Linked DNA regions of Pelodiscus sinensis. The protein of the gene in region 3 binds, or shares a complex with, the protein of the main gene of each other region. Links are inferred from orthologs where the notes say so. Each region holds a gene or a part of one and is shown on either strand. Other genes may lie near its edges.

Region 1 (3,746 bases), on a different chromosome or scaffold from region 3:
GGTAGTGTGGGACAGGATTCAGGCCAGGGCAGAATGTCGGGGTGCAGGAGTGTTAGGACTATGGCTGGGAGTTTGGGCTCTCAGGTAAGGCTGGGGATAAGCAGCTTAGGGCTTGTTCACCAACAGAAAGAGAGTTGGGGTGCAAGAGCTCTGACGGGGGGTGCAGGCTCTGGGATGGAGTAAGGGAAAAGGGACTTAGGGCTTCAGCAGAAGGCTGGAGTGCAGGGGTGTGAGGGCTCTAGATAAGGGTCCATCTAGACCCTTGAGGTTTGGCTGGGTTTGGGAGGGATTCAAAGTGGAGGGTGCTCCGGGGCTACTTCATTGAGAGACGACTCTCCCGGCTCTCTCTTCTTGCAGCAGCATCTGGGCTGGGAGAGTAGGACAGCACCTCTCCTGGCAACGGCATAGCAGGAGGTGGGGTGGGCTGCTGTAGTATAATTGGGGCTGGTTCAGGACTGGACAGACCCAGCAGGTTGGCACAAAAGCTAAACTGGGCCTGGGATGGCCCTTCCCCAGCTGCTGCAGGGCCTTCCTAGAGACCTTGTGTAGTGCTAAATAGGGACATGCGTGACCGCTTGGCCATGCAGTTTACAGGAAACTTAGAAGATGGTTAAGAAACCTCATATGAAGTATCTTAGCAAAGAGCAGCCACCAACATAGCACTTACTTGTGTATCTCTTGTCCTGGTAAGTGGCTCCTGTCCAGTCTGCAACCTAATAAAAAAGACAACAGAAACAAACTTGTTGAGCGTGTGTCATCCAACATCTTATACTCTCTTTTGCTCCACAATCTCTTAATTCACTCAGCCACTCAGCAACAGCAAACAGTGCTTTCTATTCCAGAGTCACACTTACAATCATCTTATAACAATCAATATTCTTTCAAACTTCTTGCTTTGCTTATGCACACTATCAAGAGGTCTTGGTTCATACAACACCTGCAACAGGGATAAGGAAGCTATAGGGAGTGGAGCACCAATGTGTGTGTAGAGGCATTATTAGGAACAGTATAGGACTAAGACAGCAAATATGATAAGAACAGCTAACAGGAATTTCCAAGTAGCCTAACATATGGGCATTAACTGATTACTCCAGTGATTTATTTAGTAGTGTTAGCACAGGTACCTTTCCCAGACGATCCCCTTTGCTGAAGGGCTGATATGGCATATCTTTGAACTGCTCTGGAACAGCACATGGACCCCACCCGGAGGGGTTGTCCTGGATCACAGGCGTCATGAATTTAGCCATCTTCTAAAATCCTTGGGAAAAAAAATGGGGTGGAGGTAGTTCAAGTGTTTGGAACATTTTAACTCTACAAAACTGCTGGGAAACTTCATTGGATACTAATGAGCAATGACAACCATTCAAAAGACAATAGGTGGTACCACTTTTAATGGCCACAAACACAGAGAAAAGTTCGTAGGGCTAGGATCATTTCCCAGAATTTCTGGGGTTAAGGAAAAGGTGAAGGTGTCAGCTCTAACAGCACTGTCGGTATGCAATAGAATAATTACTTTCCTGTGTACGAATCTCCTGAACTGAACTGTTAGACAAAACTGAACAAGACAAGTGCCTGTCTGTGACCAATATAAAAAGCCCTGGAAAAAGGTTTCATATCTCTCTTTACTGTGCATAATAGCACAATTACTTCCCAGATGGATTTTTCTTTCAGACCACACCCATGCCTTTATGCTTGAGGATCTACTATTTTTATACTTATTGTCCTAGCTAGCATCTGTGAAGCAGCTATTCTTATTCCCAAAAATATCTAATCCTGTGTCATCAAGACCCAGCTCCTCAAAGGGATTTAGGCCCTTCTCACTCAAATCAGGAGGTGCTAAGCTCCGAAACACCCTCCAGGACCTGGGCCTACGTGCTCGGCCATGTGTAGATCCGGCAGCAGCGAGTACCGCAGGTTGGAGACAAGCCGTGAGCCAGCAGGGCCCGGCTGTGAGGCTGCGGGAGCCGCGCCTGGGAAACAGGGGCCAGCCGAGGGGACGGGCGAGCAGCCCAGGGGGGGAGCCGGGCCCGGGCCCAGACAGGGTAGAAGCCGCGCGCTCCCGCCCCGGCAGGCCCGGCGAGGCGGTGTCTGGCCTGGACGTCCCGTGGCCAAGGCGGATCCGGGCCCCACAGACTCCAAGTCGCGCGCGCGGCCGCGCGGGCCTGTTCCGGCCGGAGCCCTGCGCGCGCCCCTCACCTGTGCGGGCCCAGCCGGGTCCCGATGGAGGCGGATGCGGGTCGGGGGGGGGTGAAGGCTGCGGGAGAACCTTAGCTAGGGTTACACGCCGGCGCGCACCGCCCGCCACGTCATCACCCCGCGCCGCCCCCGGACGCATCGTCGTAAAAGCAAAACAGGGCTATTCCGCCCTGTGGGGGAGGCGAGCGAGTTGCCGTAAAGCACCAAAGTGGGGGAGGAGAGCGAGTTGCCGTAAAGCACCAAAGTCCGCTCCCCCCGGCTGCCGCAAGGAGGCCGGGTCGGGCCTGGCTCCGCTGCTGGGGCTAAGCGAGCACCCGGGTGGTTGGGGGCAGGGCCGGTCGAAGGCCCCACGAGTGTGGAGCCGCCTCATCCTTGTGCCTCGGGGCCGCTGCTGCAACCGCGCCCGGCCTGTCCGCAGCGCGCTCCGAGAGGCTCCTGCGGGGTGAAGCGGGGCGGCAGCCCAGGGTGCGGGGCGAGCCCGTTCAAACGGGTCCCGGCGGTGGGTTTGGGTTACACGCGGCGCCCGCGGCGGGGCCTGGGGATGGCGCTTTTCGCATCTCTGGCTGCCGTGGCTGGACGTGAACTGCCGCAGGAATTCGCTCATTGGGGTGGGTGAGCGGGGCTCCTCCAGGCTGCCAGCTGGGGCTGTTCTACATTTCAGAGAGGGAGCCTGCGCTAGTTCTTATCCGCTAATCGAATAGTCGATGGAAATCAATTAGTTAATCAATATTTAACGTCCCTAGTAAGAACGGCCATACTGGATCAGACCACTAGTCCGTCTTCTGGCAGTGGCTATTGTCAGGTGCTTTGGAGGCAATGAACAGAAGAGGGCAACGTCTAGTGATCCATCCCTTGTTGCCTAGTCTCACCCTCTAAGCAGTTGGATGTTTAGGGATATTTGGACCATTTTGGCTAATAGCCATTGATGAACCTATCATTAACGTATCTAGTTATATTTTTTTTAACCTAGTTGTAATTTTGGCCTTCACAACTTCCTGTTCCACAGGTTGACTGTGCCTTGGGTGAAGTACTTTCCTGTTTTTTTTTAAAAACCTGTTGCCTATTATTTTTGTACCCTAGTTGTGCTGTCTGAGGGGTAAATAACACTTCCTTCCTGAATTTTTTCACAGCACTCATGATATAGATCTCTATCATTTCCCACCTTAGTTGCCTTTTCTCAGTAAAACAGTCCTCACTTTAAAAATCTCTCCTATGGAAACTGTTCCATATTTTTAATACTTTTGATTGCCCTTGTTTGCACCTTTTTAAATTGTAATATATCTTTTTTGAGATGTGATCAGAATTGCACACAGTATCTAAAGTATGGGTGTATTATGGATTTATATAGTGGCATTATAGTATTTTCTGTTTTTAATTTCAATCCCTTTCATAATAGTTCCTGACATTATTAGCTTTTTTTAATTGTTACTGCGCACTTAGAAGATATTTTCAGAGAGCTATCCACAGTGACTCCAAAAGGATAATTTCGATTCCCTCCATTTTGTCTGTATAGTTGGGATTATTTTTTCTAATGTGCATTACTTTGTGCT
Region 2 (3,746 bases), on a different chromosome or scaffold from region 3:
GGGGAAGCCCCAGGCAGGCTCCCCTGCTTACCACTGAGAAACGCTGGGTCCCATTTCTGTTTCAAAACTGAAGTGGAGGAGGGAAAGCTTCAGGAGTTGCCCTCAGCCCCAGAACAATCACATTGACCGGTTTCTAGCCACAAACTTGTCAATGGGAGCCGCCTATTGAACAACAGCCCGCCAAGAAAAACTATGACCCCTCTCCTCAGCTCAGTTATTCATACAAGCACATGGCCAGGCACACAGTGGCTGGCCAGAAAAAGTTTTAACATCTGCAAGCCTTAGCTCTGCAGGAAGGCAGACTGGTTTGGCTACTAGCTGGTAAGTCTTCTGGCCAGCGCCTGCCTCTGGCACTCCAGCCCCTTATTCCCCAACCCTCTGCTCCCCCAATCAACAGTCCCAAATCCTTTGCTCTCCTCCTGCACCCATACCCACTCCCAGATCTGGCACCCCAATCTCCTGCCCTAGATCACAATCCCCTTCTAACCTATGTCACATCCCAAACCCATGCACTCCAGTCCCCCCCTTAGGTCAGCCACTTACGGATGTTAAATTTTGATTAATTAACTAATCAAATAGTTAATAGGATTTCCATTGACTATTTGATTAGTCGATAAGGACTAGTGTAGCGACCCACCTTTGAAATGTAGAGGCTCTTGTGCATTTCAAAGATTGAAATGTTACCTGGAGCCCGGGGCCAGCTGGGAGTCCCCTACTGACCCTGGGCTCCATGCAGGCACCTCCACTTTGAAATGTACAAGAGCCCTAGCGGGTAGCGGAAGTACCCACATGGAGCCCAGAGTCAGTGGGGGACTCCCCACTGGTCCCAGGCTCCACGCAGTGTTTCAATCTTTGAAATGTACAAGAGCCCCAGAAGGGACTCTTGCACATTTCAAAGTTGGAACACCACCACTATGCCCCTGCCCTCACCCACGGAGCTGGGGGGAACCGGCTTTTAAGACAGCTCCTCCTCCTCTCCCCCCTTCCCGCCTGCTGCCTCTTTGTGATAGAGGGAGCAAGGGGGGAGGGTGGGGAGAGCGACTAATCGACTAATGTATCAACTATCCGATAAGTTTTTGCTTATCAGATAGTAAATTAGTCGCTTACATCCTTACAACCACCTCCTTCACCCAAATTCCCTCCTGGAGTATCGGCTACTCGCCCTCCCCCTGCTGCCTCTATTAGAGGCACCAAAGCAGGGGGACAGGAATGGGGAGAGCCAGTTTAAGAGCTGATTCTCCCCAGCACTGTCTCTGCAGTGCTATTTGCCCCCCACCCCATTTGCCTCCCACTCCATCAGAGGCAGTGGCAGCGGGAGGGGGGAAATGAAGCTCACTGCAGGCAGAGGCTGCTCCAGCAGCAGCCTTTGTCCACAGGGTTCCAGTGGGGAGTTGGGCTCCTCTGCGGACAGAGACTGCTGCCACCAAGCAGCCCGTTTGCAGTGGCCTGGGTGCATGCAGGGGCTGCTCTGGCAGCAGCCCGTGGCTGCAGCCAGCCCTGTCTGCCATGAAAAGAGGCTGCTCTGCCACCAGCCCATTCTCAGTGGAGAAGGCTGGCCGCTGCGAACAGGGGCTGCTGGACTCAACACGAGCCAGGGCCAAGCAGTCCTGGTGGCTCTTACTACATTTAAAATGCAGAGCTGTGGTGCAGGTGGTTCCCACAGCTGGCACAAGCCAGAACTGCTCAGTCCTGTCTCAGGCCAGCTCTTTTAACTACTCCCTCTGTGGTTCTGCAGAATGGTCCCTATCGACGAATCACGTAATCGATACAAACTGTATCGACTAACGATTAGCCAAACAACTGCCATTTAACACCCTTTGTTGGGAGTGCACAAAACAAATCAGACTCCTGAAAGGGACACAGGTCTCTGGAAAGGTTGAGAGCCAGGCCTCCGACCAACAAACCCCACACAAGAAGGCAGAGAAACAACCGGGGAGGTGGGGTGGAGCGAGACCTTCCCACAAGCTGGATAGGCAGTCACGTGACAGTCCTCTCTTTGGCTAGTTCTAGCTCAGGGACACGCGGGCTGGAAGGGGTCTGGCCGGGGGGGTCTGGGGCAAGGGAGGGAAAACGCGGCGCCCTGGCCCGGCCGCGCCGCAGGACTCACCTGTGTGCATGTCATAGTCACCCGGGTACGTGTAGGGGTCGTAGGAGGCCTGGGGGGAGAAACAGACGCAGAGGGGGGGGCGTCACCCGAGAGCTCAGCTACGCGACGGGCCCTCCCCCCGCCCGGGTCCCTCACTCAGCAGCCGGCGGCGGGTGCTGCCGGTCGGGCCACCACGTCCCGGGGTGGGGGTGGGGTGGGGGAGCCGGGTACCTCGGTGTCGTAATCCTCGGCCGGGTAGGCCATGGCGGGGCTCGGCACGCGGCAGGGGAAAGGCTCAGGCCGGGAAGGCAGCTTCTTCCGGTAGCGAGCCGGAAGCAGCAGCGGCCGCACCAGGCGGAGGGGCGGGGCTTCTGCGGCGGGAGGCGGGCTCAGGGCTTGGCTAAGGCTGCAGGGGGAGCGTTCGGCTGGGCGGGCGAGTGGGGCTGGGGCGACGAAGCATGTTGGGGTGACGGGCGGGTGTAGCCGGGGCGGAAGGACGTATCTGGGGTAACAGTCCAGCTTGGGGTGACAGGCAGGTGTACCTGGGAATCACAGAGCATGTTGGGGAAACGGGGCGGGTGTAGCTGGAGTGACGGGGCATGTTGGGGTGACGGGGCGGGCGGGTATAATTGGGACGACGGGCCAGTTTGGGGTGACGGGCAGGTAGGTGTAGCTGGGGTGACGGGGTGATGAGCGGATGTAGCTGGGGTGTTGGGGCGGGAGGGTGTAGCCGGGAGTGACGGGTCATGTTGGGGTGCGGTCGGAAGGGTATAACTGGGGTAACGGGCTGGGGGGTGTCGCTGGCGGTGACGGGGCATGTTGGGGTGATGGGCGGATGTAACTGGAGTTTGGGGGGGAGGGTGTACCTGGGAGTGACAGGGTGGGCGGGTGTTACTGGGGTGACGGAGGAAGGATGCATCTGGGGTAACGGTCCAGGTTGGAGTGACAGACAGGCGAGTGTAGCTGGGAGTGACGGGGCAGGAGGATATAACTGGGGTGACGGTCCAGATTGGAGTGACGGGCAGGTGGGTGTAGGTGGGGTGTTGGGGCGGGAGGGTGTAGCCGGGAGTGACGGGGCATGTTGGGGTGACGGGGTGGGCGGGTGTAGCGGGGGACGACGGAGACGTGAAGGTGACAGGGCGGGCGGGTGTAGCTGGGGTGACAGGGCATGTTGGGGAGACCGGGCGGGGGGGCGGTGACTGTTTGGGGAGTTGCCCCCCCCCCCTTCCTCTCTCTAAACCCCGATCAAACCTCATTTACTTCTCCGAGAGCCCCACTTCCCTGAGGGACGGCTGGCTCGCATTGGCCAGTTCTTTCATTGGGTGAAATAAATGCCTGTCATCCTCAGGCTGTCTGCGATTGGCTGCTGCGTGGTGACGCTCCTCTATTTGGACGAGGCCTTTGGCTGTCGTGTATGTGTTTCCCTCCCGCCTTACTCCTCCCCTCTCCCCGCCCCGTTGTGATTGGTGGCCTGGTGCTGGAGTCTGTGACTGGAGAAATTGGTCCCGCCTCTGGCGGCCCGCCCTCGTTACCATGGTTACTGGTTCGGCCCGCCCCCTGTCAGCGCGCCCGGGCCCGAAGCTGGGAGGCCGCGCGGGGGCGGCGGGCATGGACGGCGGCGGCGGCGCTGGCGGGCCCGGGGCGGACAAGGAGCCGAGGC
Region 3 (3,746 bases):
TCACCATAAAGCCAAGCAGCCAGGTTTCAGTCATGAAAGGATACAATCTGCATCCACACACCAGACAGCTCCCGTGTGGCCATTGTAAGTGCCAAGCCTCTCCCCATTGACCGAGTACCAAACATTGACAATCTGGTAATGCAAAACAATTGGTCAAGGATCCATGTTTGATCAAACTGCTAAATAAATGAACGTAATTTACTTCCATATGGTCTCATCTTTGAGTATTTCAAGTTATCTCACTGCACATACAAGTAGGACTACATGTGTTATAACCTACATTACAGGCAGCATCACTAGAGATAGTAGGACAGGAATGTCAAAAGGTGGAGAGGTCAGATTGTAGGAGAACGAATGAGGATGGTCACAGGGAATATGGTGCACTCTTCGTGTTGAGAGATACTATCACTAAATGCATGGCAACAGGTATTTTATAAATGCAGTTAAACAGAATGTATGTTGAAAAGCAGGCAGTGATGGTTCTCTTCAGGGGCCTGGAAATAGTATTTAAAAATGGGAGTGGGATTACTGCCTAAGGTGGAACACAGGGAGAGGAAAAAAAAATATGCTGCTCAAGTAAGACTGAGGAGAGACAGAAATGCTAGGTGTGGAAAACTACTATATGAAACATCCTGAAGAGGAAGCAGGTTGGTTTTGTACTAGACCTTGAACTGAACAGGAAGCAGCAAAGATTTCTCGGAATGGGAATACACTTTTTTCAGGTATAGGGAAAGAGAAGTACCTCCAACACCCTGGAGGAAAGGGATTTTCAGACTATATAGATGATAAAATACAGTTAAATTTCCAATTTTTATACAAACTCTCTGTAACAGGGCATACCCGCTATAAGTTGCCCTGGTACATCCACTCCACACTAAAGTCATTGACACTTGTAGGAACTGATGCGTTGTAAGTCCTCCAATTCCCCGCTCTTAAATTGAGCAACCCCACCCCCACCCCCACCAATTTGCACAAATGGAAGTCAGCCGCGGGAAAAAAATTCCATACTTTAAGTTGTTTTGCTACAAGTCCAAGTTTTTTGGAATGTATCTTGGACTTACAGCGAGGACTGCCTGTAATAACTAGTTAACAAAAAACTGACACCACCTCAGCTACAGGGCTATGATGCATAACCATAATATTAAACTGGCTGCTAGAAGTTTCACTTTTTTAGAATCCAGTTTAAACTTCCTCCTAAGTTTGAGAGACATGAAACAGTTAATCAAAGACTCAGAAATACTTACAGGATCTTTAGCTACTGTAAAGAGTAGGTCTCCTTCTCGGTTATATTTGATTTGAGTAATGGACCTCTCATGACCTTGCAATAGTATAGGTTTCTAAAAAGGAGACAGAATTTTTTTTTTAAATCCAGTATTTTAAAATAAAACACACCTTCGGGCTTTGTGATTTGTGCAAATACATGAGTATAGAGTTTCCACCAAACACAACTGAAGCTAGTCCATTTACTCGTATTTCAATGTTTTATCCATTGAAACCTGCATTGGAAAACCTCATCTTCCCGAAGATTCAACTTTAGCAGAGTCCAGAGTCCTCAAACCACGCAGCTTTACTGGCTGTTTATTTTCCCAGGCTGCTAGGTTTCACTGAGTAGCCCTGGAAGGGGACCTGTCATTTAATAAGGCCCAATGCGCCAGCAGGCTGGAACGAGGATGACTGGGGATTGAATTCATCTCACAGATGCGTAGGGCCAGGAACAACTTCAGGAGGTGGCTAACCCCACCCAATAAGAAGGCTTTACCCCCCCAGCGTTTCTTCACCTTATGGGTGGGAATCCCAGCGCAGCAAGGCCCTAGAGCAGGGGTTCTCAACCTTTTTCAGTCCCTGTACCCCCTTGGCTTTTAGTAAACCTTCCCGTACCCCCTATTCAATATGAAAGGAAATAAATTCTAGACTCTAGAATCCACCAACTTTTTTCACTCACACGACCACTTAGGGAATATTTCAATTAGGATAATGTAGTTATTTACCAAATATTCCCTGTACCCCTTGACACGCTTCTCCTACCCCCTAGGGGTACGCGTACCCCAGGTTGGGAACCCCTCCCCTAGTGGCTCCTCACCGGGACCCAGCAATGTACTTGGGGCGGCAGCAGGTGCCGGTGTTACACTGGGAACTCCCCGCTGGTGTTTCCATAAAGAGGGGAGGAGGCAGCCGAGGGGATCGGGGGGGGGGGGGGGCAAGAGCGCTGGGGCCACCATAACGGGGGAATGGGCTCCAAGCCAAACAGAAGGGAGAGCCATGATGCCGCGGGGAGGGGCGGCGGGGGGCGGGGAGGGGGGCGGGAGAGGCAGGACACTGAGAGGACGGGAGGGGGGAGTGGTGGGGGGGATGGGCTCCGGGGGGGCAGGACGCTGCGGGGAGGGGCGGGGGGCTTGCGGGGGGAGCGGACGGGCGGGGGGAGTGGTGGTGGTGTGGGGGGGGGATGGGCTCCGGGGGGGGGCAGGACGCTGCGGGGACGGGCTCGAAGGAGCGGGGGGGGGGGGGGACCGAGGCAGGACCCGACGTGGGGGGAGGGGGAATTCTCCCCCCCCCCCCGAGACTCCGCCTCCTCCCGACCAGGCCTGCCCGGCCCCAGCCGCCCCTCGGCCCCGCACTCACCATGGCGACCGCTCACAGCCCCGGCCCAGTCACAAGCTCCGCGTGACAACAGGAAGGAGGAAGAACCACATCCGGGTCAGGGGGCGCGGCCGGGCCGGAAGTGGAGCGGAGCCGGCATGGCCTCCGCGGGTGAGTTTCCTGCTTCCGGGAGTCATGACAGGCGCTCGGGCAGCGCGCGGCTCCCCCCGGGGCGGGGTCTCTGCAGCTGGGGGCGGGGCACAGGGGGAGGGGCGGGGCACAGGGGGGAGGGGCGGGGCTCCTTGTGGGGTGGGGGGAGGGGTGCTAGACGGTCCCTGTGGTGGGACACTGGGGAAGGGGATTTCCAGCCCCCCCCCCCCCGCGGGAAGGTGAGAGTCAGGGTGTCCTCAGTGGCAGGGGTGCAGGGGAAGAGGCTGGTCGGAGGGTTCCCCAGTGCTGGGGCCTGGGGGGGGCTCACTAAAGGAAGAGCGGGCAGCCCCCCCCCCACACACACACTGTATGACATTGACAAGGTTTCCCATCTGGAGACCACAGGAGGACCTAAGGCGCTTCACTGACCTTCTATACACAAACACCCGCTTATTCACTGAGCCGGGGGCAGCAGCCTCTCAGGACATCACCTTTAAAGGGCACCATGATGGAGCCAGGCCTTTTAAAGCTGCTCAGCTCCTTTTGCTCACCATACGCGTGTTCTGGACGAAAGCACAAATGATTCATGGTTCCAGGCTGGTGACATTGGGGGAGTGCCAGAAATAGGAAGTGAGTTGTTCTGGGTGCCAGCACAGCTCTAGCCAGTACGGGCTGAGTCACAGTAAACTGCTATTAAGACCCATAAAGTAATGCAGTCAAGCCCAGTTTTCTGACCGTTGAACCTGTTTTCATAGACTGGAATAATCTGTAATAATAAATAGACAGAAAAAGAACTGCGGCAGAAATAAATGTATGTAATAAACCTGTGTGACCATGACATAGTAATGTTTATTGCAAAACCCTGCACTGTCAGCAGCATTCAAACAGGTCTGTCCCGTCTTCTGCAGTATTCTAAAATACATAATGCACCATAAAAGCTCAGAGCTTTTTAGCATCTGACATTCATTTGTGGTTTGCAAATGTGATGTCTGGGCTAAATGTGATAATTGGGCTAGAGC

Evidence for each region.
Region 1: EIF3I (region 3) and EIF3D share a complex: the UniProt entries of both Homo sapiens proteins name them as parts of the eukaryotic translation initiation factor 3 (eIF-3) complex. The link is inferred for Pelodiscus sinensis from reciprocal best matches to the Homo sapiens genes EIF3I and EIF3D.
Region 2: EIF3I (region 3) and EIF3L share a complex: the UniProt entries of both Homo sapiens proteins name them as parts of the eukaryotic translation initiation factor 3 (eIF-3) complex. The link is inferred for Pelodiscus sinensis from reciprocal best matches to the Homo sapiens genes EIF3I and EIF3L.

What each region holds. Positions count from the first base shown.
Region 1 is NC_134711.1:93,331,346-93,335,091, reverse strand, and holds the start of EIF3D (eukaryotic translation initiation factor 3 subunit D), read right to left. Parts: upstream 2,351-3,746; 5' UTR 2,197-2,350; intron 1,259-2,196; 5' UTR 1,248-1,258; coding exon 1,125-1,247; intron 714-1,124; coding exon 668-713; intron 1-667. UniProt on the Homo sapiens protein: mRNA cap-binding component of the eukaryotic translation initiation factor 3 (eIF-3) complex, a complex required for several steps in the initiation of protein synthesis of a specialized repertoire of mRNAs.
Region 2 is NC_134711.1:92,209,184-92,212,929, forward strand, and holds the start of EIF3L (eukaryotic translation initiation factor 3 subunit L), read right to left. Parts: upstream 2,467-3,746; 5' UTR 2,351-2,466; coding exon 2,318-2,350; intron 2,157-2,317; coding exon 2,108-2,156; intron 1-2,107. Other genes in the region: ANKRD54 (ankyrin repeat domain-containing protein 54), read left to right, coding at 3,620-3,746. UniProt on the Homo sapiens protein: Component of the eukaryotic translation initiation factor 3 (eIF-3) complex, which is required for several steps in the initiation of protein synthesis.
Region 3 is NC_134735.1:3,624,162-3,627,907, reverse strand, and holds the start of EIF3I (eukaryotic translation initiation factor 3 subunit I), read right to left. Parts: upstream 2,668-3,746; 5' UTR 2,623-2,667; coding exon 2,620-2,622; intron 1,338-2,619; coding exon 1,245-1,337; intron 133-1,244; coding exon 45-132; intron 1-44. Other genes in the region: TMEM234 (transmembrane protein 234), read left to right, coding at 2,736-2,748. UniProt on the Homo sapiens protein: Component of the eukaryotic translation initiation factor 3 (eIF-3) complex, which is required for several steps in the initiation of protein synthesis.